2 linked regions of the Zea mays genome follow. The protein of the gene in region 2 binds, or shares a complex with, the protein of the main gene of each other region. Links are inferred from orthologs where the notes say so. Each region holds a gene or a part of one and is shown on either strand. Other genes may lie near its edges. The genes, in order: Mitotic spindle checkpoint protein BUBR1 and uncharacterized protein LOC100194273.

Region 1 (15,961 bases), on a different chromosome or scaffold from region 2:
GATGGTGTTGGTAAGCGTGGTGCGGTGGGTGCGGAGCGGGAGCGTGGATATATGGTGGAGGGGGTGGTTGGTAATTATGCGCGACAATTCTGGGATTGTCGGCTGGCTACGCCCGCGCCATTCTGTCTCTGGTTGCCTTCGTTTCGGGGCAGTCTTTGGTTTGGTGGGCGCAGTCTTCGCCGTGGAAAAGGCAGTAGAACCGGCGCGGTGGCTGCGCGCGCCCTCGGCCCCTGCCACGAGTTCCATTTCCGCGGCCCTGGGGGGGATATTCCTGGCGACGAGGGGGGTCAGCAGCAGGCTGTTGGTTGGCGATGTTGTGCACTTGCTGCTGACTGCGGCCATCTCGACCGGAGTCTGGTTGCGGAGTCCTCGTCCACGTGCGGCTGGACTGCGGGGCATCTTTGGGTTTCCGCTGTGACTCAACCTTGCGCTGGTGGAGCTCTTCGGATTTGGCGTATTTTTCGAAGAGCTGATATAGCTCCTGCAAGCTCTTGGGTGGATCTCTGATACAGTGGCTGTAGAGGACGCCGGCCCGAAGGCCACTGATGGCGTAGTGGATAGCGATCTGATCATCGACAGAGGGCAGCTGCGACTTGAGTGTTAAGAATTTGCGGTAATACTCCCGCAGAGTCTCCTTTTCCAGCTGTTTGCAAAGCGAGAGCTTGGCCAAGGCATCGGTGTCTGGGCGGTACCCTTGGAAGTTGAGCAGGAACTTGTCCCTGAGACTTCTCCACGAATCAATGGACAGCGGAGGCAGTCTGGTGAACCAGGTGAGTGCTGGGCCCTCTAGGGCGATGATGAAAGACTTCGTCATTGTGGCGTCGTCCCCTCCGGCGGATGCAACGGCGACCTGATAACTCATTATGTATTGCGCCGGGTCGGTGCTGCCGTTGTACTTGGGATAGGTCCCCGCTCGGAAGTTAGCTGGCCAAGGCGTCACCTGCAGGTGTGGCGCCAGGGGACTTCGCTCGTCGAGGTAGTTGACTCCTTGGAATGGCGCGCCGTGCTGGAAGGTGTAGTCGCGCTGGGGGAAACGCGGGCTCTCCGGCCGCGCCCGGTGATGCAGGGGTGGGCCATGCTGCAGGCCAAGGTGGCCTTCGCGCGTGTCTTCCGGTTGCGCGCGCTGCTGGAGGGGTGGCTCTTGCTGCAGGCCAAGGTGGCCTTCGCGCTGCATCAGCGCGATCTCGCGCTCGAGGTCTTGGGCCTTTTGCTCCTCGTCGCGTATCATTTGCCGCACCTTGGCTAGTGCGGACACACGCTGGCGCTTGGCCTCCAGTATCTCTTTCTGCCTCTGGAGATTGCGGTTCTTGAGGCGCAGGGCGCGCAGCTGTAGCTGTTCTTCTGTTGAGACGCCGAGGACCTCACCGTCCTCGGTGAGGTCCGCGCCTCCTAGTGGGGCGAAGCCTGGGGGCGGCTGCGATTGTCCTTCGGTTCCGCAGGTGCGGAAGGTGTCGTCTTCGCCGGTGTGGGGAACATTGTCTTCAGTGGGCTCTTGGTGGGTGGATTGGGTGAGGGCGAGGGCCTTGCCCTTTCTTGCGGCCAGCAGTGCTGCCTTTGCAGCCTCGTCAGCCTTCGGGTTAGCTCTCTTGGGTGCCATCGCGGGTGGTTTTGTCGTAGCACGAACGGTGGGCGCCAAATGTTGGCACTTGGTCTCAGCAGCAAGGAGGCCAACAGGGGTGAACAGTGGCGACAACAGGGTTACGTGCTCGGGGGGCAATAGCTCTGTTAATCTAGCCTCTCACGGGCACTGTGCGGGGGTATTTATAGGTATCTGAGTGCCCAGCGTCTTGTGTTAAGGACGCATGTGCCCTCAGACACCTAGTTTATCCCCAGAATATTCCCATAAAGCAGGGTTACAAGCTGTAATTACAAGAATGCCTTTACAAACTAGGCCCGTAACACAAAGGCGGCCACGCGGGGCCCGTTACAATGGGCCAGATCACACGTGGGCCTTAGAGCAGGACGAGGCCGTGCTGCGGGGAGACGTCACCGTAGGCCTTCGTCTGGTGCTGAATCGAGCGAAGGGTGTCCCTGCCCGTTTTGTCTCTATCAGACCAGCGACTGAAGCGAAGGCGACGAGCGAAGGGTGGCGTCTTTGCCTTCGCCCCAACACTCACAATCTTTTGAGTTAGCTCCCAAAGTTATCCGCATTGATTGAGCAACTCATAGCAAGAAGAACTCTCTTCTACACTCCAAATTCATTATTACTATTTCTAATCCTAACCCTGGGTGAAGTTCGTGTTCAAAGTTTATAATTTATAGGTTTCGCCTATTCACCTCCTCTAGGCGACTTTCACTAACCCGAACCCTCACTCTTCGTCTTCTACCTCAAAATTATGGATTTAGTGGTAGGATCTACCTAACCCAAGACCTTGTCTGTTCTTTTCTACTTCTAATTCTTCTCTGATTTATCTTCTCGGGGTGAGTGGGCAAGGATGGTCTCTCTGAGCCTACTCACATGTTACCCGAGAGCTGTTCTTGATCCCTTTGAATCGTATTAGTGAATCTAGGGAAAACTTAGGTGGCTTTGATGCCAATGATAGAAATTAAGGTGCTCAGAATCTTACCTAAATCCCTAGAAAGCCAATCAAGAGCCTAGAACCTTTTATGATGTGGGAATCCTAATCTAACTAAGAAGTTTGTGAAACATACCTTCTTGATTCGCATTGGTGGTGGCGGTGGTGATGGCAGTGGCGCCTTGAGAGGGATGACCTCCTCCCTGTGTCCCTCTTCCTTGTGGTTGTGGAGGTGGATCCACATCTCCTTGCGTGTTGTCGAAGTCGACGACCGGCGACGTTTGGTCATCCATGTTCGTCGTCATTGCAGCGATTCCGGTCACTCCAAGCACCTTAGGCGATGGGAGCCTCTATCAATGTGGGGTTAGGGTTTGGGCGAAGGCTGTTGCGTTAGCTTAACCCACCAGTTCTTAATGCTATTCATATGGTGCTTGTGTGACCGGGGTTTGCAATGATGGTTAAGGTGCCCCCGATCAAGGGCGCGTTATTAGAGAGTTGGTTAGGATAAACCCAACCCTATTACTTTTAACCGGCGTAGAGGACACCCTAACAGATTCTAATAATCGAGCTGCAATTTAAAACAGGTCCTTATGACGTTTTGAATAACCATGCATTAAGCAGCATGTACCACCGAAGATATGTTGATTGCCACTTCAAAATGTTAAGGAGGTGTCTGCCCATGTAAGTCATTATCACAGAGAGAAACCCTCGTCCACAAATTTGTTTGTACTATGCCGGGACTAGGTCAACTGCTCTGAAAAACTAAGCTTGAAAGCTACTTGATTAGTTGCCATCTATTAGTCAAGTTCACCTAATCGCTTAGATGAAAACCATATATCGCCCAAAAAAGCCACACCACACGTATTCTTATTGCCAAGAAAATGACGTTTCACATTTCAGCAGCCATAGATACATTTTGGTCACTCTTGATTTACTCGTATATATGCATACAACAAACGTAACAAAGGTAACTAGCAAAACTGCTATATGTATGTGTACAAACTAGGAAAGCCTTTCACGTGGGTGTTGGGGCTTGTTTGGAATGTCACGAGAACCAAACCGGCCGGGCCAAGAAGGGTAGCTAGCAGCAATCTGGCTGCTGATCACCAGCAGGTAGGTAGGATCTCTTGATAAACTCTAAGCAATCTGCAATGGCGTCTGCCTGAAGGGAGTTCTCCCTCTCCGCTGGCCCAGTGTCAGCGTGACTGAGCATCATCTTATTATGTGGCCTCGACCTCCCCCTAGGGTACCAGTTGAAGTCCTCCAGGCAGCGGACAAGGAGGCCGAAAAGCCGCACGCGGAGCCGGAGAAGCGAGCCGAGCCGGACATGGCGCACCCGGTGGCCTCGCCGACTCGCCTGGCGATTCATCGTCGGCCGTCTAGCCTTCTGAGAGAGGAGAGGAGAGAATCTTGCCTGGAGCAGGTGCACCGGGAGCATGGCTGTGTGCTCGTGACCTCCTTATATAACAGTGTGTGTTGCTACTCACTAGCTAGCTACTGGTTCTAACCAACCGGCCATGTCGCATTGCAAGCCCAATGATGTAATGCAAATGTACAAAGGCTTTGTGGGCTTGGGCAGCCAGCCACAGTTTTACTACGTTATCATCTGGCGAGACGGCTTGTCATCGTGCCCTAAAGAAACCAAAAAAAGTAAACTAATGGTCATTTTCATGACGTGTATAGAAATGTAGAATGGATCTTCTTGTTTGCACCGTACCTGCTCTCGGACTGGTCTGGCCTAGTTGATGTCCTTAGCATGTCATGTATCCACTTGCACGCCAGTTTCCAATCACGTTTTGTCTGTAGCTTGAATTGCAAATTACTTGGAGAAACAATTGCGTTACTAGTTTTCTATTATGAGAAAAATTATCCACGATATATATATATATATATGTATGTATATATATATATATAATATATATGGTGCCTAGGGTTTTCAATAACTAGAGGAAATACTGACTCAACGGAGCCATTCTGTATAGCCACATTAGCTTCGGGCGGCTATGAAAACACCCCTAGGCCACCAGAGATTAGGTTTTAGTGGGGCCGGCGGTTCACTCAGGCGAGTGAGCGGCAGTGACGGTTTCCTCAGGCGTGCGAGCGGCGGTGATCCCCGAGGAGGGCGACCGGCGGCGGCGCTCTCCAAGGATCGAGCGACGGCGACGCTCCCGAAGCAGATGAGCAGTGGCGGCACACCCCAGGCCCGGTGGCGACGACAGTTGCGCGAGGTGCGGTAGGCTTCGACAGCGGCGGTGATGGCCCTGAGGGAGCACGGCGGCGGCGGATCTGGGTGGCGCGCACGAGGCGGCAGATCCCAGAGGCGCGACGTCGGCTCCTCTGAGACGGGCACCCCGGAGTGGCGCCCCCTGGCGTCCCACCTCCGGTGACGACGTCTCCTTCACTAGGCGCGAGTGACGATGACGGACTTCACTAGGTGCGAGCGGTGAAGGATCTACGACCTTGTTTTTATGCGATTTTGTATACATATTTATGCCAACGTCAATATATTTTTATGATACATTGTTAGGTCATGGCTTTCTCATCCTTTGTATGTTTATGATATTTCAATTCGCATTTTATGTAAACTAGTTTTAACGAGTCTAACTGCAACGTCAATTCACATTTTATGATATTTCAATTCACATTTTCCTTCCAACGTTTATTGATTTTCATGTAGTGTACCGCAATTCATAAATAACTTCCACATATAGCATAATTAGTATCAGTATATATCATAAACTAGTTTTAACAAGCCTAATTGTATGGTTGTTGAAGAGATACTATATTTATGGACGAAATAAAGCCTTGAGCAGTATATGCTAATCTATTTCCTTTCGACTCACATTTTTGTCATCCTAAATTTGTGCACATGTAACAGAAAATAGATTTTGTACACAATGTATCGCGTGCATAAATACCTTCACTGTGTACTATAATTAATTTCAGTATATATTATAAAGTGGTTCTAACAAGACTAGATGTATGACTCTTGAAGAGATTCTATATTTATGGAGGAAATTAAGTATTTAAATCAGATTTTTTTCATGCATACCAATCTCATTTCATTTCAACTCACATTTTTGTCATTTAAAGTTGTGTGCATACATCAGGAAACTTATTTTCTACGCAGTCTGTCACACTGCATAAATATCTATATCGTGTAGCATAAATATCTACATCATAAACTGGTTTTAACGATTCTAGCTACATGGCTGTTGTAGAGATCCTACTTTTATGGACGAAATAAAGCATTCAAATAATTTTTTTTGTTTCGATGCATGTCCATTTCTTTTTAACGGTTATTATTGTCATCCTAAATTTGTGTGTATGCAGTAAAAAACAAGTTTTTATGCGGTGTATCAGATGCATAATTAGTATTAGTATATGTCATAAACTGGTCCAACGAGCATAGCTGGATTGCTGTCGGAGAGATCCTATATTTATGGGAAAAATAAAGCATTTAAATCAGATTTTTTTTGTTTTCATGCATATCAATACACATTTTTGCCATCCTAAACACATTCTACGCATAAAATGTTTCTATTGAGTTTAGCTACATGCTTACAGAGATTCTATATTTATGGACGGAATAAAACATTCAAATATGTTTTCTAATTTCTCAGGCATTCAAATATAAACAAACTGAATGAGACGCTATTAGATATTAGTCCAAAGGCATTTTCGTTACAGAACAAGCTATTAGAATTTGCAGAAGCAGATTATTTTGCGAGGCTAGATTCACATAGGCACGCACGAGATCTGCAGGTCTATTCATAATAAGCACGCCGTGTCAATATAATGCACAGCCTTACATCACTTGGATAATGCCATAGGCATACATTGCTCGTCTAAGCTTTAGAGGCTAATAAAGCCTTTTTTGGGCACAACACCTCACAGCAACCATACATACGACCAAATCATAACGTACGAGATGTTTCTCAGAACCAGCAAGATGCTGATTACCTAAGCCTGCTCAGGGGGAAGTTGCGCAGCGGGTTCTCCTTGAGCAATTCAGTCTCCCTGCTCCAAAGAAAAGACCGCAGAGGTTAGGGAACTGCTGACAATAGTTTCCCAAATACCCGAAGCTACAAGAGCTATGCTGTACTTACTTCTTAAGGCTTTTGCTTGTTGTTTGCCTGAGCTTCAGAACAGAAGGATTTGGGCTCTTTGGCACCGGCCGAGCAGGTTCCCTACAGCAATCCAAAGGGGAAAAAAAGAGTCTATTTAGACATATATGTTTTTGTAGTAACTTTGAACAATCTCAAAAAAGAAAAGAGTAACACTAGCATGTTAAATAACATACTGTGTGCAGTCTTCCTCGACGAAGACTTCAATGGAACAACTGGCTCGGGTTGATTGAACCGCTCCTCTTGCTCCTAACTTCTGTGGAATCTGTACAACAACAATGCAGTGTTACCACAAGTTCGTTACTGAATAGTTGTCCTCGGTGCAAGTCTCACATGGGCCACTTCAGAGAATCCTAAATGGCATGGCAAAAGTACCTTGTGAGACGTCCATTTAGCAGGCATCATGTTATTTTCCTTGTTCCGTTCTGCTCGTGTTCCGAGGACGCGCCAACTTGTGTTATTTTCTTTGCTCCTCACTCTGTCAAGGCCCTGATTTGGTAATGGACTTTCATCTTTGTAAACTGAAAGCGGCCTGTTAGCATCGATTCCGCAAGTGTGCAAAGGCATAATCAGTGACATGATGAGGAAAAAAAACTCCAGGTTTAGATGGATATTTTACATCTGTCACATCATACAGGTACTGACCTCTGCAGTGCCCTTGGTCTCCCCAGGTGGGAGTTCCCTGCTTGCTGATTTCCTGCCATGTTTGCATATGTATTAGGTTGCAGCCACTCGAAGTTCATGCTAAATCAGAGTAAAACTGAACAAGCTTACTGTTTTCATCTCGTTTCAAGTTATTCCCGAAACTGCGTTTTGGCAGATCATCATCTACTGTATCATCCTGCTACAGGAAAAGAAAGAAGTCATTCAACTGAGGTATTGGCTTCAAGATAAATAAACACTGCTGTAATTTGAATAGCAAACCTCTTGTTCCCTCTTTTTGATTGATCTTCGAAGAAATGCCCTGTATACAGCTTCCAACTTCTCCAGAGGCTTCGCTTTTCTGACAATAAAAAATCGAATATAAGAAACTTCATACATTCACATGGATTAATCAAGTATTAAAACCAATGCACAACTAACCATAACAAAAGAGGTAAGCAGAAACCATGATAAGTAAAACAATTCCGAGTGTTGTATCATTTACAAGAAGATAGTGGCATAACTAGTCAAAGGAGTGTCAAATCTTAAAGAATAGGAAGTAGAAGACTGAGATTTTTTTTTCATTTTACGTTTGCGAACTAGAAACTAAAAGGAACTTTTTATTTCTAATTCGTTAGAATGTATCAAATTAGAAGTGATCATGAAAATAAAACAAAGAAGGAAAACTGATTCAGTATAACATCAGCCTCATTTTTGTACCATCATTGACTCTTGTTATGTACGAAAATCAAACACAGGAGCATATATGTACTCCATGTCCATTATAGGACACAATTTTTGGATCGGATATATAGTACAACAGCATGATCTACCTAACAATTTAAAACTCAGGAGCTTTATATGAACAAACGTGCTGATCTAAAGAAAATCTCACCTAGCTATACCAAGGTCAAAGATCTCATTAGCTTTCCTCAACTTGTTCTTTGACTCCAGCAACGATGCGTAAGACATGTAGTAGATCGCATGGCCCTGCCCAATCTGGTTGGCCTCCAGGAACCTGTATATTACCTCAGCATCAGCACAGTTCCCCGCCTGCAAAAAGGACAAGATCGGCAGCGGAATGATATATGAGGTGCCTCCACTGCACTGACACAAACTACAGAGAAAAACAATCAAGCTGGCAAAGCATCACTCACGTATTCCAGCCACACTTTGAGGAAGCGGAGGTCGTCCTTGTAGCGCTCGTCGTCCAATAAGGTCCGCACGCACTGCTCGTACAACACCACCAACCCTGAGCACTCGCCGCCGGTCGGAAAATACTCCTGCACCCACTTGATGCAGCTGCACGCGGACGAATCAGAGAAGAAATGAACAATCTATCTGCTAGAACAGCTACCAGTCCTGGCACGAACCAAGAAATCGAAAAAGGCGAGTTAAAGGGGCTATGAGAAAAACTTACTCCAGCCACGGTTGGAGCGGATCCTCGCCTTGGTACTCGTAGATTGCCTCAATCAGCTTCCTGGATCAAGCAAATGAACCGAACGATGAACACACATGATATATATTTGCATTACTGCAGCAACTTGTCTCCTCCCCACAGACCCAGGCCCAAGAAAAAGAAATCCAGAGCAAACAAAAGTTACAAAACCACAACTCCTTTTCCCCCATTGCTGGGCGAAAGACTGGAGAAGGAAACGTACTTTCGGGCTTCGAGAAGAGTGGCGCGCTGGGCGGGATCGGCGTGTGCCTTGAGCGCGTGGTTGAGTTTGGACACGTCGCGCCCGCGCTTGAGCGGCCTCGCGTTCTCCTTGAACTTCTCGCACTCGGCAACCACCGCGGCGGCGGCGTTGCCCAGACCCATCAGCGCCAGCGTCTCCTTGTCCAGCACCGCCATCATCTCTTCCGCCGCCGCCATGTGAGGTGGGTGGCACCGGCTGCAATTCGAATTCGAGGAGATTCGACCGTTGCGTTTTGGAGCGGACGCTGCTGCAGCCCGCAGGTCAGGTTTCGGTTTTAAACGGTGAAGCTTTGCGAAAAGTTTGGGCCGTAGGCTTTTAGTTAATCCCATGTTTTATTTGGGCCGGTTTGTACTCAAAATAGCCCAGCTATGTTTTGCTTGGCTGGAACAAATTCAACTGGCTGTATGCCATGAGAAGCGTAAATTTTAGCAAAAAAAAAAAAAAGCAACCATGAAACGAGGACTAAATTACTCCACCAAGTACATATATTAGGATGTGTTTGGTAAAAGAGTGGATGCGAATGGAACCAATCCAGTTCTATTTTTTGTAGATGTTTGGTTTCTAATGAAAGAGAGTAAAGCGACTCTTATAGTCTCCGTATAAAAATATATCATAAATAATTGAGATGTCTCTGCTCCATCAAAACGATCGGATGTGAGCATACTCATGTCTTTCCTCCCCCCTACACTTTTATGTAGGGATGGCAATTTAACCCGCAAACCCGAAACTCGACACGTACCCAACCCGACGGGTGCGGGTACAGGTAAAAATTTTAACCCGTGAGTGCACCCCAGACTCGACTCAAAGTTTCACGAGTGTTATGCAGGTTTCTATTTCAACCATGGGTGACCCACACCCGACACAAAATTTGGATCATTCTTTAATTTGCACAATACTACTTATGATACAATACAATAGTAATTATTTTTGAATAAGTAGGTTGGCTAATTATTCATTAAATATTTTGTTGCGCTCAACGTGAGAAGGCTTAAAATTCATAGATATAACTCAATTATTACTAATACTAGTCGGTTACCCGTGCGTTGCGACGGCTTACAACAATACCCACGTAAATCCATAAAAATATCAAGATTTTTTATTATTTGTCTCTGCTCTCCGTATAATGTTTTTTTGATTTGGCTAACTGATGTTATTGTTTACTCCATCCAGTATGTCTTGGTACAACACAACCAATGAAATGAGCGATTATAAGAGAGTTCATAACGACTGACTGAACGAACATAGATTATAGAATGACATAATTCCTATATACAGAGACCAAATAAGAGAAAGTTTGTAAGCTCAAGTTTCTAAAATAAGTCACATGAACTCAAACTTATAAAAAAGATAGATCAAAATATAGAGTGGTTGCTAAAGTCAGGCATCAATAAAAACTGGATGTGTTCCATATAAATTATGCTACTTCGTAGCAATTACTAACGTTTAGAACCAACAAATAACCTTTCATTTTACTGTTAGTGTGGCACATCATTGTTGCTCCATCCAATTCAGCAACCTCAAACACCATGGAGTCCATTGCGCCAATGTGGTCTCAGAAACGACCTAATGCTTACAAGAGCCAAGAACGCCGTGATGTGCTTGAGTTGTAGCCTCAGCCCATAGTATTGGCCCAACCCGACACGATTATATTTTTTATTTTAAAAAACGTATATACATATATACAATTTATATTCAATATTAAAAATATTTGAGCATGATGTTCTACTAATTAGACAGCTTCACACAGTGTCTCAAATCCTTCTTCTATCAGGCCATGGGTTCGAACCCCACCTCTTGCATTATTTTTTAACATTTTACGCTGATTTAATCAAATGGGTCGATGAGCTAATGGCTCGACCCGGCACAGTTAGCAGGCCGGCATGACGTGTCTGGGCCAGATCTGTGGCCTGCGGGCGTCTGGCCCATGCCGGGCCGCCGTTTGGCCATCTATATGTGGAGGTGTATTTTGGGACGTCAGCCGGACGGGCGTGCAACGGGTTAATTGTTAATTTGAAATAGCTATGAGGTGTTATTTGTAAAAAGATGACGCAGGATGACCATTAAAACTGGTGCTTTAAATATAGTAGAGATTTAATTGCCTATAGCCGAATTATTAACTAAAATTGTACATTGAGTAAAAACCCGCGGGTGACCCGAAACCCACCTGAAACCCGACGAGTTCGAGTACGGGTTTGGAATTGCACCCGTGGGTGTAATCGCAAGCTCAGTTTAGGTGGACTTTACGGGTGTGATCACAGGCGGGTTTTTGCTCCACTCGACCTAAACCCAATCCATTGTCATCCTTACTCATATGGTTCTCCAACCAAACAAAGAATGGAGTATTTCCGCTTTTTTCTACTCTTCAATCAAAAAAATAAAGCGGCTATGTTCTGCTTGTCAAATACAAAATCAAACGACTACATTTTCATAAATTAGGATGGAGCCGCTCTATTTTAAATGAATCCCATCCAAACACACTATCGGAGAGGAAATTCTCCAGCCGGGTGGAGAAACGCACCCGCCCTAAATCCTAAGATGAGGAGGAGGCCTAAGCATTTTGCCTGCTAGATGGAATCGAGAAGAACACAAGAACACACAAGGGTTTAGAGTGGTTCGGGCCGCCGGAGCGTAATACCCTACTCCATTGTGTGTTGTATTGAGCTTGAGAACTTGTATGAACTTGTGAGTTTGAGTGAGTGTGAGAGAACTTGAGAACTTGTCTTGTAACGTTGCGTGCCCTCCCTTTTATAGCTCAAGGGGGGCACGTATAATGATGTTGAGCCCCGACATGTGGGCCCATGGACAAAATGGGAGGAAGTAACTAACGCTTGTCACGCCAGGGTGATCTCCGAGCGCCATAATGTCCGTAGTGCATATAGTATTGATATCCCGCGCTGCTTCCTCGGTAACGCGCGAGTGATGATGAGCATAGTGTACGCCGCAGCACGGGCGTACTGTCTGCCAATGGAATAGACAGGCACGCCGCCTGCGGGATGGTGTGGTCGCCGCCTGCCAGCGGAGTGGATAGGGCACATTAAATGCTGAGGCGGCACATCGCCTGCCAGTGGAATGGACAGGGCTCATTAAACGCCGAGGCGGCACATCACCTGCCAGTGGAATTGACAGGCAACGCGCCTTATCCGCAATAAATGCAGAGGTCGCGCGGCCCAGAGGCCTTACGTCAGGCTCTGCCCGCTGGCTTACGTCACGGGCAGTAGGCCACGTGGCAGCATCGGGTCTTCGCCTGAGCGGGGAGCAGAAGCGTACACGGTATGGTCCGGACATGTGTCGGCTCCGGAACCCCGCCTGGCCTTTGTTAAGGCCTAGGTATTCTTCGTCCCAGAATCCCGGGACCCTGCTGTGAGTGGCCCGAACCCCACACAGAGGGGTCCGGAACCCATCCTAGGGGTCCGGTTTGCACCCGTGGACACTAGTACAAAGGAGCTCTATAGTGACGGTTGTAAACCTATTTTCACTGGCGTTTCTTAGAACCGTCGGTACTAGGAGCCAGTAAAAATCATCATTTTTATAGGCGGATAACTGAGGACCGCCAGTGGAAATCAATTTCCACTGGCGGTCGACGTAATAAATCCGCTAGTAAAAATTATTTTAAAACATTAAATAGGTTTTTTAAAACAAATTTAAAAGTTGCAAGTCGCGGCATTTTTCGCGTAAAGTTCGCGCGATATGCGGTTGTTAGTAATCGAACCGTCGACCTCACCCTCGCGCGTAATCTCCACTACCACTCCGTTTATGGCATGCATTGTGTCTAGTTTGTAGTTGTTTTGTCCACATATTACAACCATTTGAGTGTAAATTGCTTATTTGAGACTCTAAACGAATTCAAATAAAAAAGTTGTCAACTACAAAGTTGAATAACTTTTGATGTTCTACAACTTTTATTTTGACACTTTTTTATCCGAGGTAGTTTGCAAAATATGAATTTTAAATTTGACATACTTTTTCTCGAAAACGCAGGAGTAAATTTGACATACTTAGATTCATTTTTTTAGAACCGAAACGAGTTCCAATAAAAAAGTTGTCAACTACAAAGTTTTATAACTTTTAGAGATCTATAACTTTTATTTTGGTGATTTTGTCATACAAGGTTGTTTGAAAAACTCAAAAAATTAAGGATAAAAATGATTTCTAGTGGCGGTTCCTTAAGAAAACCGCCACTAGAAATCGATTTCTACATGCAGTTCCTTAAGAAATCCGCCACTAGAAATCATGGATTTTTACAGGCGGTTTCCTTAAGGAACCGCCTGTAGAAATACGATTTCTAGTGGCGGTTTTCTTAAGGAACCGCCACTAAAAATAGCACAATCGGTTGATAAACGAATCCGTCTGTAAAAATATATCACCCCGCAGGCTTTGAGCCTTTTTCTACTAGTGGGAGGTCCCGGACCTCTCCCGGAGGTCCGGTCTGCATATACAGGGGTCCGGCACTCCCCCATGGGGGTCCGGACTCACTGTTGATACCTTGGAGTATATCATCTTCTCTGGCCACGTGGCGGCCCCGGAGCTGTCCACGTGGTGGGTCGGGTGCTGTTTACCACGCGACTAGAGATAGCCGCGTGGGCACCACGTCTTCTGTCGGTGTTTTGGGTCCGACCGCGCACCCGGGGTTGCCCCTCGAGGTGCTTTTTGGAGTAGGACGGTGTTACCGACTGTAGCTCGATGGTTCGTGCCAGATGCACGAGAAACAATAGACGATCTTGTACAGGTTCGGGCCGCTTTGGGATGCGTAATACCCTATGTCCTGGTGTGGATCTTTTGTGTGGTAGGTTACAAGGGAGTTCTCTAGTATGGAGGATACTAGAGAGTTGAGTAAATGGCTAAGGAGTGAGATGTCATTTGAGGGGGTGCCCCCTAGGCCTTATATACTTGACCGTGGGGCGTTTACATGCGGATATGATAACAACATAAGCCTAAGTAATAGTGAACCGACTGAGCCTATCTTCCTATAATTCTGCCGACCTATCTCCATTCAGTTCCGATGTATGAGGACATTGTACAGGAAGGTCGGATCACTGCTGCGACCGTTGCTCAAATTCATCAGGCCGTCTGGGCTTGCGTTGATCCAATCTTGTGTCAATCCACTTCACTAGACGTCCCTCCCCAGGCCCACGAAGGGATGACCTTGCGAAATATTAGGCCCAAGATCTTTCGCGAGGTCTTTTAGCCTTCTAGTGGATCCAGGGGATATCTGTCCCCCACATCTTCATACTGTAGTAAGGGGTACCCCTATTTCAGGGTACCGACAGTGGCCCCCAGGCCCACCTCAGGGGAGGATACAAGCCTGTAGGTGGGGCCAAAGCTTGATTGGCGATTGATGCGCCGCTTCCGCACGCTTGCTGACGTAATCACCGCCAGTCCGCCTTCGGTCATGTCAACTGCCACGTCTGTCCCCACGGCTGACTGACCCGTGGCCCCCATGCCTGATGGATTTGTCGGGCCATGCGTGAGGCGCCTCGATACCGCTGCATTGGTTTGAAAAAATCACCTTCTCTGTCTTCTGCGGCGGCCCTGAGGAGGCGAAGTACTCGCGCAAGCGGCGGTTCGACTTTTCTGCACCCGGGAATCGACACCCAAGGAGTATGACTCATGGGCCCGGCTCCCCGTGTCAGAGACTAGGCTGTCGTTTCTTGTGGCGGAGATGAAGAGGCGCGCTACCACAGGCGACGGTCCACTTTTCGGGCGCGCGTGGCGGTTCGCGTTTCCCACACCAGGAGTTCAGCGCTCAATCCGTATGACTTGTGGGCCCAGGCCCCCGTGTCATAGAGTGGGTCGCCTGGGCTTCAGGTGTGCGCCGACTGGGATTTCCCGTAGTGTCTCGGGGCACGAGCGGGAGAGTTTGCCTTGTAGAGGGATTCACCCCGTGAGCAGCAGTTACGCTTTCGCATTCTCTCCCATTCTCTGTGCCCTTTCGCCTTCGAGCTCTCTACGCCCTTTTGCATCCGCGCTCTCCTGCTTTGCGTCGCCGTAGTCACCATGGCCTCGCTAGCTCACCTCGAGCGTTTCCAGTCCGAGGTGGCACTCAACTTGGTGCACAACCCGCTCGGATGGAGCGCGCCGGCGTTCGCCAAAAGGATCCGCGCCGGTGCCACTCCCCTCGGCAATCTCGCCGTCGGGGAGTTCGTGCTCTTCGTCTCCAACCTCTCCTGCGGGTTGGCACTGCCAATCTCACCTTTCTTCCTGTTGCTGTTGGAGGAGTTCAGCCTCCAGCTTCAGCACCTCACGCCCCACTCCATCCTCCAGGCGGCCATCTTGGCCCACCTCTGCGAAATGTTCGTGGAGGTGACACTTCTTCTGCTAGCGTCCGGACGAAAGCGTGTTGCACAGCGACCTTCCGGATATGGAAAGCGAGTTGAGCTGCGGCTCCATCTTTCGCATGAACTTCATTGCCTCCTACAGCGGCCTCGTCAGCTCCTCCCTGAATCTTCACCAGCACCTCGTGGTACGCCTCCATGAACTGGTCTAGCTCCGGCTCCGTCTCAGCGGCTAGGCCACTAAGCACTGTGTGCTGCCGCGCCTCCGCCTCTTTGGCTTTAATGGCCTCGACATCGTCTCCAATGATGAGGGCCCCTTCGCCTTGACGCACGCATCGGGGAGGCCGCCGCTGTTGGCAAGCTGCAGCATCGGGTTGCCGCTAGCGTCGTTGTTCCCAGTGGCCGCCACCGTGTTCAGGGTGAGCGACAGGCCTGCGCCCGGCGGTTGTGGCGGCAGCTGCGCTACGACGGCGCTGAGAGAGGATGCCCACGGGCGGTGGTAGTGATTGCCGGTCCGGTTGCCGACACTAAAGACGTCGCCCGGGAGGACGTACAAGATGTCGTGGAGATGGCGGCCGCGTGCTTCCGGCGTGACCCTGCTGATGTCGAGTAGTTCATACCTGTAGAAATGAGGCTAGGGATCCGCTTGAAGGCGGATGTAATAACTTTTGTTTTTGTAAGATGCTTTTGGGAACTATCAATTA
Region 2 (15,504 bases):
AAAGGTAAAGGTAGCATGGCTCATTTTTCCTTTTATACTCCATAACAGTGCTTGATTTTCTAAAACTATTATGGCGCAGAGCGGTGCTCAGGAAGTAGGTGATGAAGGGATGGAATTGATTTGTCCTTGAGGCCAGAAATTTGAGGTGGGCTGCTGTTTTGGAGCAATAAAAAGAGACTGGAATCTTTCTTTCCAATTCATGGTCCATCCAAATAGGCCTGTCCAAACAACAAATTCTGATTCAGCCCAATTCATAGGATCCAAATGGAGGGGTCAACTGAAATATGTTGTCGCCAAACGCCAATTCAGCAACTGTCTTGCCCTGCAGCCCAAATTGTAGTGGCTTCTGAACATGTGCCCAAGAAATCATACAGTTACCAGTGTTAGCCTATTCCTGCCCTTTCCACAGAAAACCGCGACGCCTCTTCTCAATTGCCTTAATTAGCCATTTGGGCAAAGATCCATAGCAACCAGTTATCCTGCCTTGTTCATGAGAGAGGCCTTCCATCCAGGGAGGTTGTCTGCATTCTGCAACCTTGTCAACCAAGGGTAGTAAATCTGCTTTAGCAGGCTTGTGAATGGTGACTGGAAGACCAAGGTAGGTGCAAGGGAAATCACAGATGTGCAGCAGAGAATTTCAGAAGTGAGTGTTGTGTCTTCTTTCGAGCAGCGAATAGGAGTTGCAGAGCTTTTGACCATATTTGTCCTGAGATCTATGACATGACCAAAGATATCTAAGAGCTCCTTTATGATGATCAAATCACCTCTTGTAGGCCTTAGAAACAGGATAATGTCATCAGCATAAATGGAGATCCGGTGCTGAACATGCTGAACAGTAAGCCGCTGCAGGACCAAGAAACCGAGTTTAAGGCCTTCGAAAAATCAAGCTTGAGGAGAATGTGGGGTTATTTCATCCTGTATAAACAACTAGCCATCTGCTGGACAAGAAGAAAAATCACTCTGGTTAATGGACACCATGCTGGGCAGCAAGGGTGCCAAGTAACTGGCCATGACCATAGTACCCAATTTGGCAAAACTATGTATAAGGCTGATTGGCCAAAATTCCTTCAATTGAATAACACCCACCTTTTTTGGAAGAAGAGTGATAAAAACAGCATTCAGCAGATGAGCAGACAAAATCTAAAACATGGACATTCTGAATAGCTGAGAGAGACAAGAACACATCCTCTTTGATGATATGCCAACAAGAATTGTAAAAACAACCAGTGAATCCATCGAATCCTGGGGCCTTGTCTAAGGGCATATCTCTAATTGTTGCCCATACCTCGTCTTCTGAGAAAGTCTCATCTAAGGAAGCCGGAAGCGAGGTCGTGCTGCTGAATCTGGAGAGTCAAAAGATCAAAGGTGAAGTTCCTTGCTTCAGTCGACCCGAGCAGGTTTTCATAAAAATCAAGGGCAGCTTCCCGCTTATCCTCCTGCCAGGTAAAGATATGATCCTCAACTTGGAGTTTTTTCTTTTGGCAGCGGGCGTGCAAGTGGCAGAAGGTAGTATTGGCACCACCTTCTCATATACATAACACTCTAGGTCGCAGCCTAGCAATGGCACAGTCCAGAGAGGCCAAACCAAGACAGTGCAGTTCCTTCTCAGCCATTCTTCACTATGAGCAAGGTCTCGCGAGTCCCTAGCAATTTCCAGATGGACGTATCTCCTTGTCAACTACAAGCTGGGTCCTAATATTAGCAATCTTCTGCTGGCTCCATTTTTTTAAGGATTTGCTACGATGCTGCAGCTTGAGAAAGAGGCGCTCAACCGACAATTGGAAGATATGGCCATATGGGAGCCTCCCAGTTCAGATGCACAGCATAAAAAAAACTTGGGAGTTTGGTCCAAAAACTCTCAAAGTGGAAGTGGCGCTTTCCCTGAGTGCTGACCTTGGAGCCCCAAGATGAGTAGGCACTGATCCGACACCCCTGAGGCAGCGCTCTGCAAAATTGCATCAGGAAAAAATCCTTCTCAATCATTGCTGCAAAAGGCACTGTCCAGCCTTACTAGAATTGGGCTCAAGCTTTCACCAGACCAAGTATACTTTTGTCTCAACAAAGGAATATCTTTAAGCTCTGAATCATCCAAGAACAGCCAGAACCGACCCATTATAGCTCTGTTGTTGAGGTTGTTAATGTTATTGTTTGCCACTTGATATCAAATTTAAATTTCCTGCTACACTTCATGGACCAGAGAAAAGGGACTGAAAATTCCACAGCTCTTGCCAGAAAAGGATTTCTCGATATCTTCTTGAGGACCATATACGCCTGTGAACCACCAATTACAGCCTTCTTCAACGAATTGGACTAACTACTGAAAAGACATCAACATGGGAGGCTATTGCTTGGCACACATAACTCTTCCAAGCAATCAGGATCCCTCCATGCGTGCAACTCGCCGGCAGGGCCACAAACTTATCATAATCAGAGCCAAAAAAACAAGTAAAAAATCTGCCAACTTATAGATGCAACCTTGGTCTTTGGTTTCCTGGAGGCAAACCACATCAGCCCTGGCGGAGAGGATAACATCCCGAACTGAATTACACCACACTGTACTAAGACCATGGGCGTTCCAAACTAGGCTTGCAGAAGGATTCAAGAGGAAATATATTTTGAACCGCCACCAAACAGGCCCAATCAGAAAACTAACAAGAATTCCGCATAGCAGACCTCTTCACTCTCACCAACCTTCATGTAAATTTGAGGCCTTCGAGCATGCGCACAAAGCAGTATGTGCCGAAGGGTGTGATGAAACTTGTTTTCGCCTTGTCTTCCTTCTTCATGTAAATTTGGTGATAGCCCGAAAAGCAATCGAGCAGAGACATTACTTCACATCCTGTTGCGGAATCAACGATTTTGTCGATTCTTGGCAAAGGGAAATTGTCCTTTGGACAGACTTTATTGAGATTGGTGAAGTCTATGCACATTCTCCATTTTCCATTTTTATTTTGTACCATCACAACATTAAGCCAAGTGGGGTAATCGATGGGTTCGATGAATTTTGCTTCCAGTAGGCGATGGACTTCTGCCTTCGCTGCTTCGGTTTTTTCGTCAAACATTTTCGTAGTTTTTGTTTCTTGGGGCGTACAGCAGGATCAATGTCCATGTTGTGCTCAATGATGGTACGACTGACGCCGACAAGGTCTAGGGCGGACCATGCAAAGATGTCCTTATTGCGGTTGAGACAAGAGAGAAGTCTTTCCTCTTCTACTGCCAAGAGGTCCTCGCTGATCAAGATTGTTTGCTTGGGGGTGGCTGAGTCCAGGGGGACTGTTTTTACTCCCTTGTTACTCTGCAGTTGTGCGTTGATCTTTTTCCCTTTGTTTGGGCGAGGGCTGCCGGAGTCTTCGCGCTCGGATGAGAGGCAATGCACATTGCGCTGGCTGGGGACGAAATTTCTTTCTATGTTCCTGGCAAGCTGTTGATCTCCATATATGGTAATTGCACCCTGGGGCCTGGGATTTTCATGCATAGGTATAGTCCGTGTATGAATGCCTCTGGTTTATTAATGGATCCTCGCCCCATGATGGCGTTGTAGGGGTAGACCATATCGAATATGTCGAAGGTGAACTGCTCACTTCTCGCGTTTGGCACAGTGCCGAATGACAGTGGTAGCTTGATTTTGCCGAGTGAAAATGTTCCTTTTCCTCCGAAGCCATATAGAGGGTTATCTGCTGGCTTGAGTAGGCTGTGACTTATGCCCATTTGATCGAAGGCGTGTAAGAAAATGATGTATGCCTGACTACCGTTGTCAACAAGTACTTTGTGCAAAATCCATCCTGCTAGTTTGCGATTTATCACCATCACATCGGCGTGGGGTGCACTGCGGAGATCGACATCCCTTGCATCGAAGGTGAGTGGTACATGGGACCACTTTGTTTGAACAACATGTCCGGTGAGGGCGACATGATTGACACTTCGATAGTGGTCTTTCTTCTGCCGTTTTGTGTCGAATTCGGAGTTGGATCCTCCGGTAGTCATGTGGATTACCCCTCGAAAGGGTTAATCGGCGAAGTCCTCTTGCTTCGGTGGGGGTGGGGGTGGTAATGGTTGGTTTGGATGTTGTGGAGGTGGAGGCGGTAGAGCTAGGATTTCTTCGTGTTGAAGTCTCTGTTGTTGCGGGTATATATTATGGTTTTGCTGGTGAGGATGGAAATGTTCATTGTGGAATTGGTGCTGGTTGTACTGATGGGGATGATAGGTGTGGGCGACGAGTCTCTGGTTGTCAATCGGTGGTTCCTAGCCATTCGATCCTTTGTTGCGTTAGTTTTGGGGCAGTCCCTGGTTGGGTGTGCCGAGTCTTCACCGTGGAAAAGACAATAGAATCTTCGTTGCCGCTAGCCTCGGCCTCTGCCTCTGGTTGCATTACCGATGCGACCTTGCTGCGGAGGGTAATCGTGACGACGAGCGGTGACTCCAATCTGTTGATTTGCGATGTTGTGCACCTGGGACTGGGTGCGGTCTTGCCGGCTTGAGTCCGGTTGCGAAGCCCTGACCCATGTCCTGCTGGACTGCGGAGCGTCCTTGGGCTTTCGTTGAGACTCGATTTTTCTTTGATGGAGTTCTTCTGACCGGGCGTACTTTTCGAAGAGCTGATATAATTCCTGCAAGTTTTTGGGTGGGTCCCTTATGCAGTGACTGTATAAAACACCTGCACGAAGGCCGCTAATTGCATGGTGAATAGCTATATGGTCATCAACCGAAGGCAGCTGTGACTTTAACAGGAGAAATTTCTTGTAGTATTCTCGAAGGGTTTCTTTCTCCTGCTGCCTGCAGAGTGATAACTCTGCCAGAGCGTCTGTCTCAGGTCTGTACCCTTGAAATTTTAACAAGAACTTGTCGCGAAGTGTTTTCCATGAGTCGATTGACAATGGAGGCAGTCTCGTGTACCATGTGAGGGCTGGGCCTTCGAGAGCTATGATGAAAATTTTGGCCATGGTGACGTCATCTTCTCCAGATGATGCAACCGCGACTTGGTAGCTCATGATATATTGTGTCGGGTCGATATTGTCGTTGTACTTCGGGTAGGTACCTGCCCTTTAGTTTTGGGGCCAAGATGAGGCTTGGAACTGTGGAGCGAGAGGGCTTCGTTCATCAAGGTAATTTAGTCCATGAAAGGTAGCTGGGGCCCGGACTGGCATGCGGAAACGGTGGCCAGGGTCCTGCCGCTGGTGGATGGGGTCTTCGCCTTGCATTTCTGCAATCTGTTGTTCCAGTTCTTTGGCTTTCTGCTCCTCATCTAGGATCATCTGACTGACCTTGACCTGCATGGTGATGCGCTGGCGCTTGGCTGCGAGTATTTCCTTTTGCTTCTGTAAGTGGTTGTTTTTTATGCGGAGTGCATGCAACTTGAGCTGGTCCTCGGCTGAGATGCCCAGGACTTCGCCGTCCTCGATGATATTGTCAGCTTCCGGTGGGGTGAAACCTGGCGGGGGGTCCCGAGATAGTCCCTCAGAGCTGCATGTGCGAATGGTGCCCTCTGGTGTGGGCGGATTCTCCTGGCGGTGTCGCTTGTTGTTGACTGCTCCATCCTCGAGGGCCTCATGAGGGACATCGCCAACCAGGCCTGCTTTGCCCTTCTTCTCAGCGAGAAGATCCGCCTTTGCTGCGTCGTCCAGGGAGGTGGTAGCCTTCGAAGCTGCTTTCTTGGGAGCCATCACGGGAAAGGTTTGTCGGAGCACGAACGGTGGGCGCCAAACGTTGGAACTCACTGACACTTGGTCAAGTGGGTCCAAACAATGAGATATGAAAATGCTTTGATGCTTAACAACTCAATGGTTTAGAGCAACAATGTAGTTCGGCATGTCCCGTCAAGGTACAGTGCAGGGGTATTTATAGGTAACCATGACGGCGGTCTCACCCCTATAAGTACAATTATGCCCCTGGTTACCTACGTCATCCCCAGAATATTCCCCCCTCAGGGGTCATTATAGATCATTACAGTATGGTTAAGTACAACCCGGACTGACACACCATCAATCCTACCCTAGACTGGGGTTTACACGTGGGGCCACACAATCCAGCATGACGCCGCATGGGCCCGCTTCGTTGACATGCGCGAGTAGTGGCTGCAGCCTTCGTCTTAGGGCGCCTGGTCTTCGGATCATGGCCTCCGCCTGTCCTGATTGATCCATCCGTCCCAAAGCCTTCGCTTGATTGAGGTAGACTCTGCTCTCCAACTGTCGTGACATGTTCTGTTTACGTTATAAATGAACTGAGCGAGGGGGGCGGGCCGCCTTCGCTCCAACGCTTCCACCCAAGAAATGGCAGCAAAAGGCAGTGAGGTGTGCATCAGAAAGGGGTTATCAAATAACTAGCTGTAATTATCTTGAGCTGACTGGTTATCTTCTCCATAGCAGAGAGGCCCAAGCTATGAATCACTTGCTCTCTTCTGCACATCAGAGACCACTGGCCCTAGAGAGCATGGACCAGCACCAACCACATGTCTGCTTCGATGTGGTAGTGATCCTGAGGGAGGCGTCTTAGACTGTCTCTTTTTTATGACGATTTGGGGAAGGAGCTTCACTACAGGCTTTGTTACCTTATCCAGAAGCTTGTCCCGCGTAGTCAGGGACAGTGTCATGATGATTGGATCCGACAAACATAAAAGTGTAATGCTCAACAGACCCATGAGCTATTCTATGATCAGCATACTCATGGATACAAAGAAATACTGAGGTTTGATAAATACACAAGTATGGTGCTCAACATGTAGGCTGAAAACTACTAAATCATAGCATGTGGTTACGCTACCTGTTCTTCCGCATCTGCTTCTTCTAAAATATTCTCCAGATGTTTTAGAAATGTCAAGTGCATCTTCTTCAAATTATCAAGGGGCTCTGCTTTCCTAGTTAAGCCACAGACCATATTTTAACATCACATGGACGTGTGAATATCAGGTTGTATATGCTTAAAAAGAGTAGAATTTCAAGTGGAAATTATTTTCCACTCACACTAACCTAGAAATACCGATTCCATACACCTTATCAGCCTCAACCAATTTCCCATGAGCAATTAGATATTGTGCATATGAGTCATACAATAGTGCATGCTCCTGAAACATTCCTTTCTCCTCCAGCTGGTTGTAAACACTGGGGAAGTCCTCAATTGCATCTGCCTAAAACGCAAGAATCACAAAAGACCCCAAAAAGATAAGGAAAATAATAAACAACAACCCAGGAGGAATGGTATCAGAAATGATATATAAAATCAATCAGGTTACATAGAGGATCCAAATCTTGAGCAACCGTGGATCAGTGGAGTATTGGTAGTCATCCCCATATTTTGCAATGCATTCAGTCAAGTAATGCTTGAGCCTGTCTAAGGCTGTCGTGTCATACTGAGGCCCTGTTCCGAGCTCATCCATGGCCCTGCTAATAGACCTAAATAGAAAACCAGAAACCGATATTAGCAACCCAAACCAAGGTTAACAAAACCGAGGATAATCACCGGTAAACCGAGCGGTTTACCGAACACGCCGAGGCGCGGTATCGGTTTTCCACCGGTTTAATTTCAAATTTCGGCCAAAACTTGAAAATTTTGAAGAAAAAAAATTATAAAATGGGGAAAATTATGATAAAAACTACATCCTCTCATGAGTCATATGATATATAAGATATTCAAATTTAGTCTCGTTTAGCCCATTAAAAATAGAAAACTTTTAGACCCGTTACCACAGATCTGCTAAGCCGACGGCTAACCACCTCAAGTCGGCGATAAACCGTCCGTTTGCTTGGGTAAACCGCCTGTCGTTGTTTGGACCCGAGGACCTAACCAACCAGTGAAATAATGCTGCGTGCTCCTAACTCAGATGGTGATGCAAGTTGACACAAGTCTTTTATCATGGTTCGAGCAAGAAGAGGTCCTGCTTCCAGTAGAGGGGGATGAGACTTAGGTAGTGTTTGGTTGAGGAGCCAAGTAGAACGGAACCGTTCCATCCCTGATTCTAGGAACGGGGCCGCTCTGTTCTGTGTTTGGTAATCTGGAATGGAGCGGCTCTGTTTTTTGTTTGGTTGCAGAGTGAACGGAACGAAGCGTGACTGTGCGAGCGGGCTGGGAACGGAGCGGCTCCGTCCGGTTGATTTTTTGGAGCGGGATGGTTCCGGATATGAGGAGAATATTCCCTAATTGGAGCCACTCCGTTCTAGTTACTTTGTAACCAAACAACAACAAAACTGGGACAGAACGGCTCCGTTCTACTTGGCTCTTCAACCAAACACTACCTTATATTACTTGCACATAAGTGCTTGTAGTAGAGAATACAACTTGAGCGGGAGAGAGAACGATCCCAAGTCCCTGGATTGATTGAGGAAAGTGTCAATACCGTGGTGGAGGAGAAAACGGGGAAGTGTTCGTCTGCCCTCCTGAAGCCATAGGCTATCCTATTTATAGCCTCAGAAGGGGTTGCCCGGAGTACTGGAGGTGGCCGCACACTGTGAGGAGGTGTCACTGTGGTCCTGTAGACGGTATGGTCTAGAGTTATGACCTTGTACTTGTTGTTGACTTGTGCATGCTTGATTTCTGCTGAGAGCCGAGGCCAGGGCCGAGGGTTCGATCACGTATCCAAGCCCTCCTGGCGAGGGGGTTGCTCATACTGTAGTGGTTGACACAGTACCAAGTATGGGAAAAGCCCTTTAAGTAGTGTGTAGGGATGAAAACGGTCGGAAACAGACGGTAAACACTAAAACCATTAATGTTTTCATATTTTTTATCAGAAATAAAATCGAAAACGGTAACTCCGGAAACGGAAACAATATCGGTATTTCAGAAACATCGGAAACGAAAGTTCGGTGCGGAAAATACACTGGTAACGGTCGAAATCTAAAATATGATCGGTAAACATATCAAACTTCACAATACAACAAAGTTGGCAAAAGATCACAAAGACCACAAGTTCACAATTCATGATATAACAAGTTCACAATATAAAAGTTCATAAAGATCACAAGTTCACAGACTCAAAGTTCACAATTCACAATATCCACTCGATTTAGCTGACATGGCATGCTTACTCATGAAATATTTTTTCCTCACATAAAGAGTTTTTTCACAGCCTCACAGGAAAACCCTAAAATCTAGTGTGTGGAAAAGACAGACTGTCGGCTCTCTATCATTATATATTACTAATACATAACATGTGCATAGAAAAGGGTGGATTCGTTCGAGAGACCAAATCGTTAATCTCAACAGCCTTCCAACGCCATCTATCCAAAAAAAATCTTAAGGCGTCCAAAAAATACAAAAATAAGTAATCTTTATCCAGAGACGTACAGGCGATGCCAAAAAATCACATGCCGGAAAATTCCGAAAAAAATTCCGAGACACAATTCCGGAAAATTCTGAGACACAAATCCGGTAATTTCCGACAAAACCGGTAACCGAAGGAAACGGTCGGTAAAACACCACGCCGATTCCGATACCGATTCTGATAGAAAATTCCAAAAACCGATTCCGTTTTTGAAAAAATACTGTTACCGGTGAATCCGATCGAAAAATTTCGAAATCGGTTTCCAGAATACCGAAAAATTCCGAAACCGTTTTCATCCCGAGTAGTGTGTCAGTTCTGCAGTGTCTGATGACGTTGGGCGCCTTCCCGTTGCAGATATCGAGGTCAGAGCCGAGCTCGGGCGAGGTGGTAGTCCGTCCGAGATCGCGACTGAGCCCATTCTGAGATTCGAAAACGTGTGCCACAGTTGAAGGAGTGGCCTCCTGCGGGGTTCATGGGGAGTAGGTAGCCGAGACCGGGCTCGAGCGAGCCGAGTTTATCCCGAGGCCGAGTTCTACTTCGGGCGAAACGAAGTTTACGCCCGAGGGCTAGCCTGTACCCTTGTCGTATTGTATGTCCCGTCAGGAGTTGGCAGACGGCGTACAGGAACAGTGGTCGCATGCGTAATCATAGTTGGTGAATCTTTGACTAGACTGTGGTCTTGTTACTCCTGCACACCTGCAGCCCTATGTGGGTTAGGTATGCGCATTGAATGTTGTTGTCCCCGGCAGACTTCAGCTGAGTCTCGCCCTGGGTTTTGTCTCCCTTACCCGAGGTGGGCTCGGGCGAGGCGGAGACTGTCGTTCTGGGGTGAGGGGACCTCGACCGGGACGAGGATTCTCTCGAGAACACACCCCGTCCGAGGACAGGCTCGGGCGAGGCGGAGTCTGTGGAGACCCCTGAGGGGGGCCTTGGGCGAAGCGCGGCTTACGATCCTTCGTACCTTGATGGTGTTTTTAGTGGTTAAGTGTGTTTTAGGGGTGTAATCTGAGTACGCCTAATTACCACACCCGACACCGCCTGTTTTCACCGGAAAACCGGATTTAATGACATGATTGAGTTCTAGTTTAATCATTTAGTGCCCAGATTTGGTTTTGTGATGTTTAGGGTTTTAGATTTTTTTTACATCATCAAAAGTTAGGTGTATTGTAGCCTACTAGTTATATATTAGTACTATTAATATATAGTTATATATGTTAGTATTTAGTTATATATATGTTAGTATTGTTAATATATGTGTAGTGTGTAGGTCCATTTGTTCGTGTTAATACATAGTTCTATGCTAAGACCTAACTCATTTGCTTGTGTCATGTTAATATTTAGTTATTGTCAGATGGTTTATGTTTTTGTTAGTAAATATGTTTCGATGTTTTATGTTAATATGCCATTTGCTACAAGTTATATGTTTTTATTCTACTCTTGTTACATGATATTATGTCTTCTTATTTATAGGAGGCATGTCGGACATTGTCTAGGAGCATGGAGAGAAGGTTAGCACGGGTTTCAAGAGAAAATATTGTAGAGAAACTAAGAGCGGAGGGGGTGGTACACGTTTGAAGGAGCATCTCGCACATAAAAAAGATCATCAAATCGAAGGGGGAAGAAGAGGGACATCTCGCACATAGGGGGTGGTACCCGTTTCGACCATTCTATGTTGTTGTCGAGATGCATGTATATGTAACTACAAGCAGATCGGTGTGTTATTTTTGCTTCGACAATAGGTATTTATTTATCGTTCTTGTTTTATCGCTAATGTATCTCATATCATTGTATAGGACTACGTATACGGAATGGGCCCATACCAGGATCCTTCCAACATGCCTGAATACTATGACTCGAGCTGAATAAAGAGTATTGTGAAACAAGTAGACATATGTATCGTGGCCTCGTGGGAGAACTCTAAAAGAACTTGTATAATTGTATTTGAGTATTGTGCCATCCGATGGTTGTTTGTTGCATGAGAATTGAAGTTTGTGGTTGCATATGTATGTTGAATATCATTTTGGTGAACATATGTTGTGTGAGTCAGTTAGTATTTACTATGCAACGTGAATTGAGCAAATTACAAATGAACTCTGCCAAAATTTTCCATTTTTCCCTGAAAACAAAAAAATGATTCATATGGGTGGTTTACCAGCGGCATTGGGTGGTTTACCGCCGGTTTTTCGCCGTAAAACCATTTTGAATTTGTTCAAATTTGACATGGGCAAACCGGTTGATTTTGTCGGTTTTCACCGGTTTACCCATTACCCGTGGGTAGCAGTTTTCTCCAAAAACGGTTTGGTTATCCTTGACCCAAACACATGTCTAAGCTCATTCCATTATGTACATGGATTTTTAGAAGAGGAAAATCAGACCTATAAGCAGCCTAATTAAGACCGAAATCAAGGTCTCACACATGGCAGCCTCGCAAGAATTTGAATAAGAAATCAACATATACTAGTGCATCCCAGTTCAATCCCACAGGGGTACTGGTAGGCATGAGTAACCAGACCCTGAATCGCGGAGGTAGAGCCGCGCAAGCTAAACTAAACGTCCAAATTGCACATGCTTTACATTCAATCAAACGGCGGAACCTTCAGACACGCACAAGCACACGCACGGACGCACCGCACCCGTGCACTAAGCGAGCTCCCACACGGATTCGCACACGCTAAATGAATCCAAGTAACAGAGGCATATCTCGAGGTAGATTCGAGATTACCTGAGGTACGGGAGGATGGGGTCCGAGGGCGGCGAGGCCACCTCCCACGAAAACCTAGGCGACTTCGGGAGCGGGCTACAGGCGGCCCCCTGCGCCGCGGCCGGAGTGCGGTCCAGGATCACCATGCCCCGATACAGAGAGCCTCTCCCCTCTCGGACGAACCCTGCGGCGATCGCCGGCGACGAGCAGCTCTGCAATTTGCTCTCGCGCGTGTGTGAGGCTGAGCCGTGGACAGCACTGGAGGGCAAATATTTGGCACCCAAAAAATTTGAAAAAGAATCGCCCCGCAGCTAAGTGGCCAGTGCCCACTCGTCAGGACCCAAATATTTCCCCTACTACTTTAGACTGTATGCAGTAGTGTCCTTTAAATTTTTTCCCCTAAATGTTACTATATAGTCACGTCAGCAAGATTCACTCTCCTATATTCACTTATCCCGCAACTATTCTCCCTAAAAATTCTCATATATATATCCCTCTACTCATTAAATATACATTTCCATATAACTAACATAACCAAATTCATTTTCTTTTTCCTTTTTTCCTTTTCACACGTCCGGCATGTTGCGATGTTATAAATTTATAAAAAAAATATATTTATTTTTTTACAAATTATGCATAATATACAAAACAAACATTTGAGTTAAAATTTATTTCGAAATTGCATACAAAACTTCACAATTGTGCGTCGTCATAATTATTGAGAAACATTGCGATGTAAAAAATTGAACCAAGCTTACGTTGGAAGCAGACACCGACCATTCGTACGCAGGAAGCCACGGTTGGCTTCCAACGAAAGCCACGAGCTTTCCCCTGAAGCCACATTGATCTCGCCTATATATATGCATACTTTCTCTTCGCATATGTAGCCACAACGAACACAACTCCAGCAAGTTAGCCATTGTTCGGTATGTCTCACTGGCATAGGGAAGATGATTCCGATTCGAGTGATAGTGAGGACGACACACTTTTGCTTGTCAATCTTCTTACCCTCAACATTGAGGCTAAACGCCATCTCCGACGATGTTCCGGTATACCTCGCCGCATCATTCACAGGGATCATTTTGCTGGAGAAAATCTCATCCAGCATCACTACTTCGGCCCGAACCCAGTGTATCCACCCACGTGTTTCGTAGAAGGTACGCACTTCAAATTATTGTAATATGTTATGACATTATCATTGTATTCACAATGAACCTATTAAATTTTATAGGTTCGGCATGAGTAGGCCGTTGTTCATCCGCATTATGGAAGGACTGCAACAGCAGGATAGTTACTTTACGCAACGGGTGGACGCAACAGGCATGCTAGGACTCGGGCCCCTACAAAAAGTATGTGCGGCAATGCGGATACTTGGTTATGGGTTACCTACTGATGCGGTAGACGAGTACATTCAAATTGGGGAGTCAACCGCTAGGGAATGCCTTCATCATTTTTGTCGCGCAATCATTGCATATTTTAGTGGGTGGTATCTACGAACTCCTAATCAAGCTGACATAGCACACATCATGCACAATAGCGAGGCTAGGGGTTTTCCTGGAATGTTGGGTTCCATAGATTGCATGCATTAGGAGTGGAGGAACTGTCCTACGGCATGGCGTGGTCAGTTTTGTTGCAGAAATGGTAGACCTTCGATGGTACTCGAAGCGGTAGCAATGTATGATCTTTGAATTTGGCATGCATTTTTTGGCATGCCTGGGACAAACAATGACGTAAATGTGCTTCACCGATCACCAGTATTTGACCCCATGACAACCGGTCGAATGCCACTAGTGAATTACACAATAAATGGTCATGCTTACAACTTCGGATATTACCTTGCTGATGGCATTTACCCCAACTGGCCAACTTTTGTAAAAGCAATCAGACACCCATATGAGGAAAAGAAAGTCTATTTCACACAAATGCAGTAAAGTTACCGAAAGGATATTGAGTGCGCATTTGGAGTTCTTCAAGCCCGGTGGGCGATGCTGCGTGGTCCAATGTACGGTTGGGATCGTAATCGTTTAACGGAGATAATAACAGCATGCATCATCATGCACAACATGATTGTCGAAGACAAAGGGCAGTTTGCTGCTAATATAGATTTCGGAGAAAACACTTCAGGCATTGAACCATCTCAACTAATTCAAGAAGGACGGGCGGAATGGGTGATCAATCACTTTGATCTTCGTCGCCAAGACAGGTCGTGCTCACTACAAAATGATCTTGTGGAGCATTTGTGGGCTCGACGTGGAAGCATGTGAACTTTTCATTTCATAACTACGTATTTCGAACTTCAATTGAATAATTGTAAGGTCCTCTGTCATGTCGTTGTTATGGTTCTTCAAATAAATAATTTAATTCTACAATTTCCTACCCTATGTCGTCTGTTCAGGGACAAAGTCATTACAATTCATTATGTACAACCTAATTTTTACCAAGTAAACCACAAGATAACAATGCAACAAATAATAATCCTAGGTGTTTCCACAGCCGACTTAATTATTATGTAGTACACACGTTACAACATAACATAGAACCAACATGTCATGCAAGACTTATGGTTACAACAAATTTATAATGTTTTCGAAAACAAATAACACAATGAAATTAGATAAAAATTCTCAAATAGTTTTCGGCACCAGTACTACGACATGTCACACAACAGTACATTTATTGAAAACTAAATATGAACTGCTGCAAGCGTTTTTTCTGCTCCTTCATCATAGTCCAAACTTCAGGATCCACTACCTCTTCACTAGTTGACTGTAGCATCTGCAATTGTTGTTTGGGCGATTGGAGTTCTTCAAGTTTCAATTCCCTTTCACGAATGCTTAACTTTTTTGCTTCCAATTCCAACCTCTTTTTCTCTAGTTCCCTGTCTTGTTCAGTGCACTTTTCTTTCTTTTCACCCTTTTCTATGCAGCGCTGAATTTGTTTTTCAGTTAAATCTTGCAAACGGCTTAAGTATTCCGTCGATGAGGATGACATACCTTTCTTTCTCTCAGATTTACTAGAATCATGACCACAGGGCCGTTTTCTTGTCAAACCAGCAGAACCACTATTAGATTCATGTCCACCAACTAATGGAGTACTAGAAGATCCAATTGATTTTGCATGTAATCCTCGGAATGAAGTTCCTTGACAGATGCTCCCATTTAGGTTCCCCCTTCAGTTGATGCCAGCAATGCATAAAATGGAATTGTTTGTTCTCTTCGTGTCACACCCGGTTTTAGAAGGCAAACCGAATGCGAACCATGTACGTGCCAGGATCAGCGATTCACGTACACAGCAGTTACATAACATGGACATCATCACACAGTGCTCAAATAGTATTAAAAAGGGAAATAGTAGTCGATTACATCATATGTCTGAGACATCCACATAGTCTTTACAAATCATCAAAGTGCGGAAAAGAAACGTATATAAACGCGGCCTTCATGGGCAGCCGACTGGGGGTTGCCGCTAACCCATGCCTAGAACTCGTCGTAGTCTTGGAACTCCTGGAAGTCTTCTTCCACGGCTTCATCTTCTCCTGAGCAGTGGCTGCAAT

Evidence for each region.
Region 1: uncharacterized protein LOC100194273 (region 2) and Mitotic spindle checkpoint protein BUBR1 share a complex: the UniProt entries of both Arabidopsis thaliana proteins name them as parts of the mitotic checkpoint complex. The link is inferred for Zea mays from reciprocal best matches to the Arabidopsis thaliana genes AT2G20635 and BUBR1.

What each region holds. Positions count from the first base shown.
Region 1 is NC_050100.1:126,586,987-126,602,947, forward strand, and holds Mitotic spindle checkpoint protein BUBR1, read right to left. Parts: upstream 9,216-15,961; 5' UTR 9,162-9,215; coding exon 8,947-9,161; intron 8,766-8,946; coding exon 8,706-8,765; intron 8,588-8,705; coding exon 8,443-8,587; intron 8,339-8,442; coding exon 8,181-8,338; intron 7,647-8,180; coding exon 7,568-7,646; intron 7,488-7,567; coding exon of another isoform or gene 7,485-7,487; coding exon 7,418-7,484; intron 7,341-7,417; coding exon 7,289-7,340; intron 7,176-7,288; coding exon 7,019-7,175; intron 6,909-7,018; coding exon 6,820-6,908; intron 6,707-6,819; coding exon 6,626-6,706; intron 6,537-6,625; coding exon 6,476-6,536; 3' UTR 6,260-6,475; downstream 1-6,259. UniProt on the Arabidopsis thaliana protein: Essential component of the mitotic checkpoint. Required for normal mitosis progression. The mitotic checkpoint delays anaphase until all chromosomes are properly attached to the mitotic spindle.
Region 2 is NC_050102.1:160,974,089-160,989,592, reverse strand, and holds the start of uncharacterized protein LOC100194273, read right to left. Parts: upstream 12,250-15,504; 5' UTR 12,098-12,249; coding exon 11,973-12,097; intron 7,386-11,972; coding exon 7,226-7,385; intron 7,121-7,225; coding exon of another isoform or gene 6,963-7,120; intron 6,851-6,962; coding exon of another isoform or gene 6,757-6,850; intron 1-6,756. UniProt on the Arabidopsis thaliana protein: Serine/threonine-protein kinase that performs 2 crucial functions during mitosis: it is essential for spindle-assembly checkpoint signaling and for correct chromosome alignment. Has a key role in the assembly of checkpoint proteins at the kinetochore.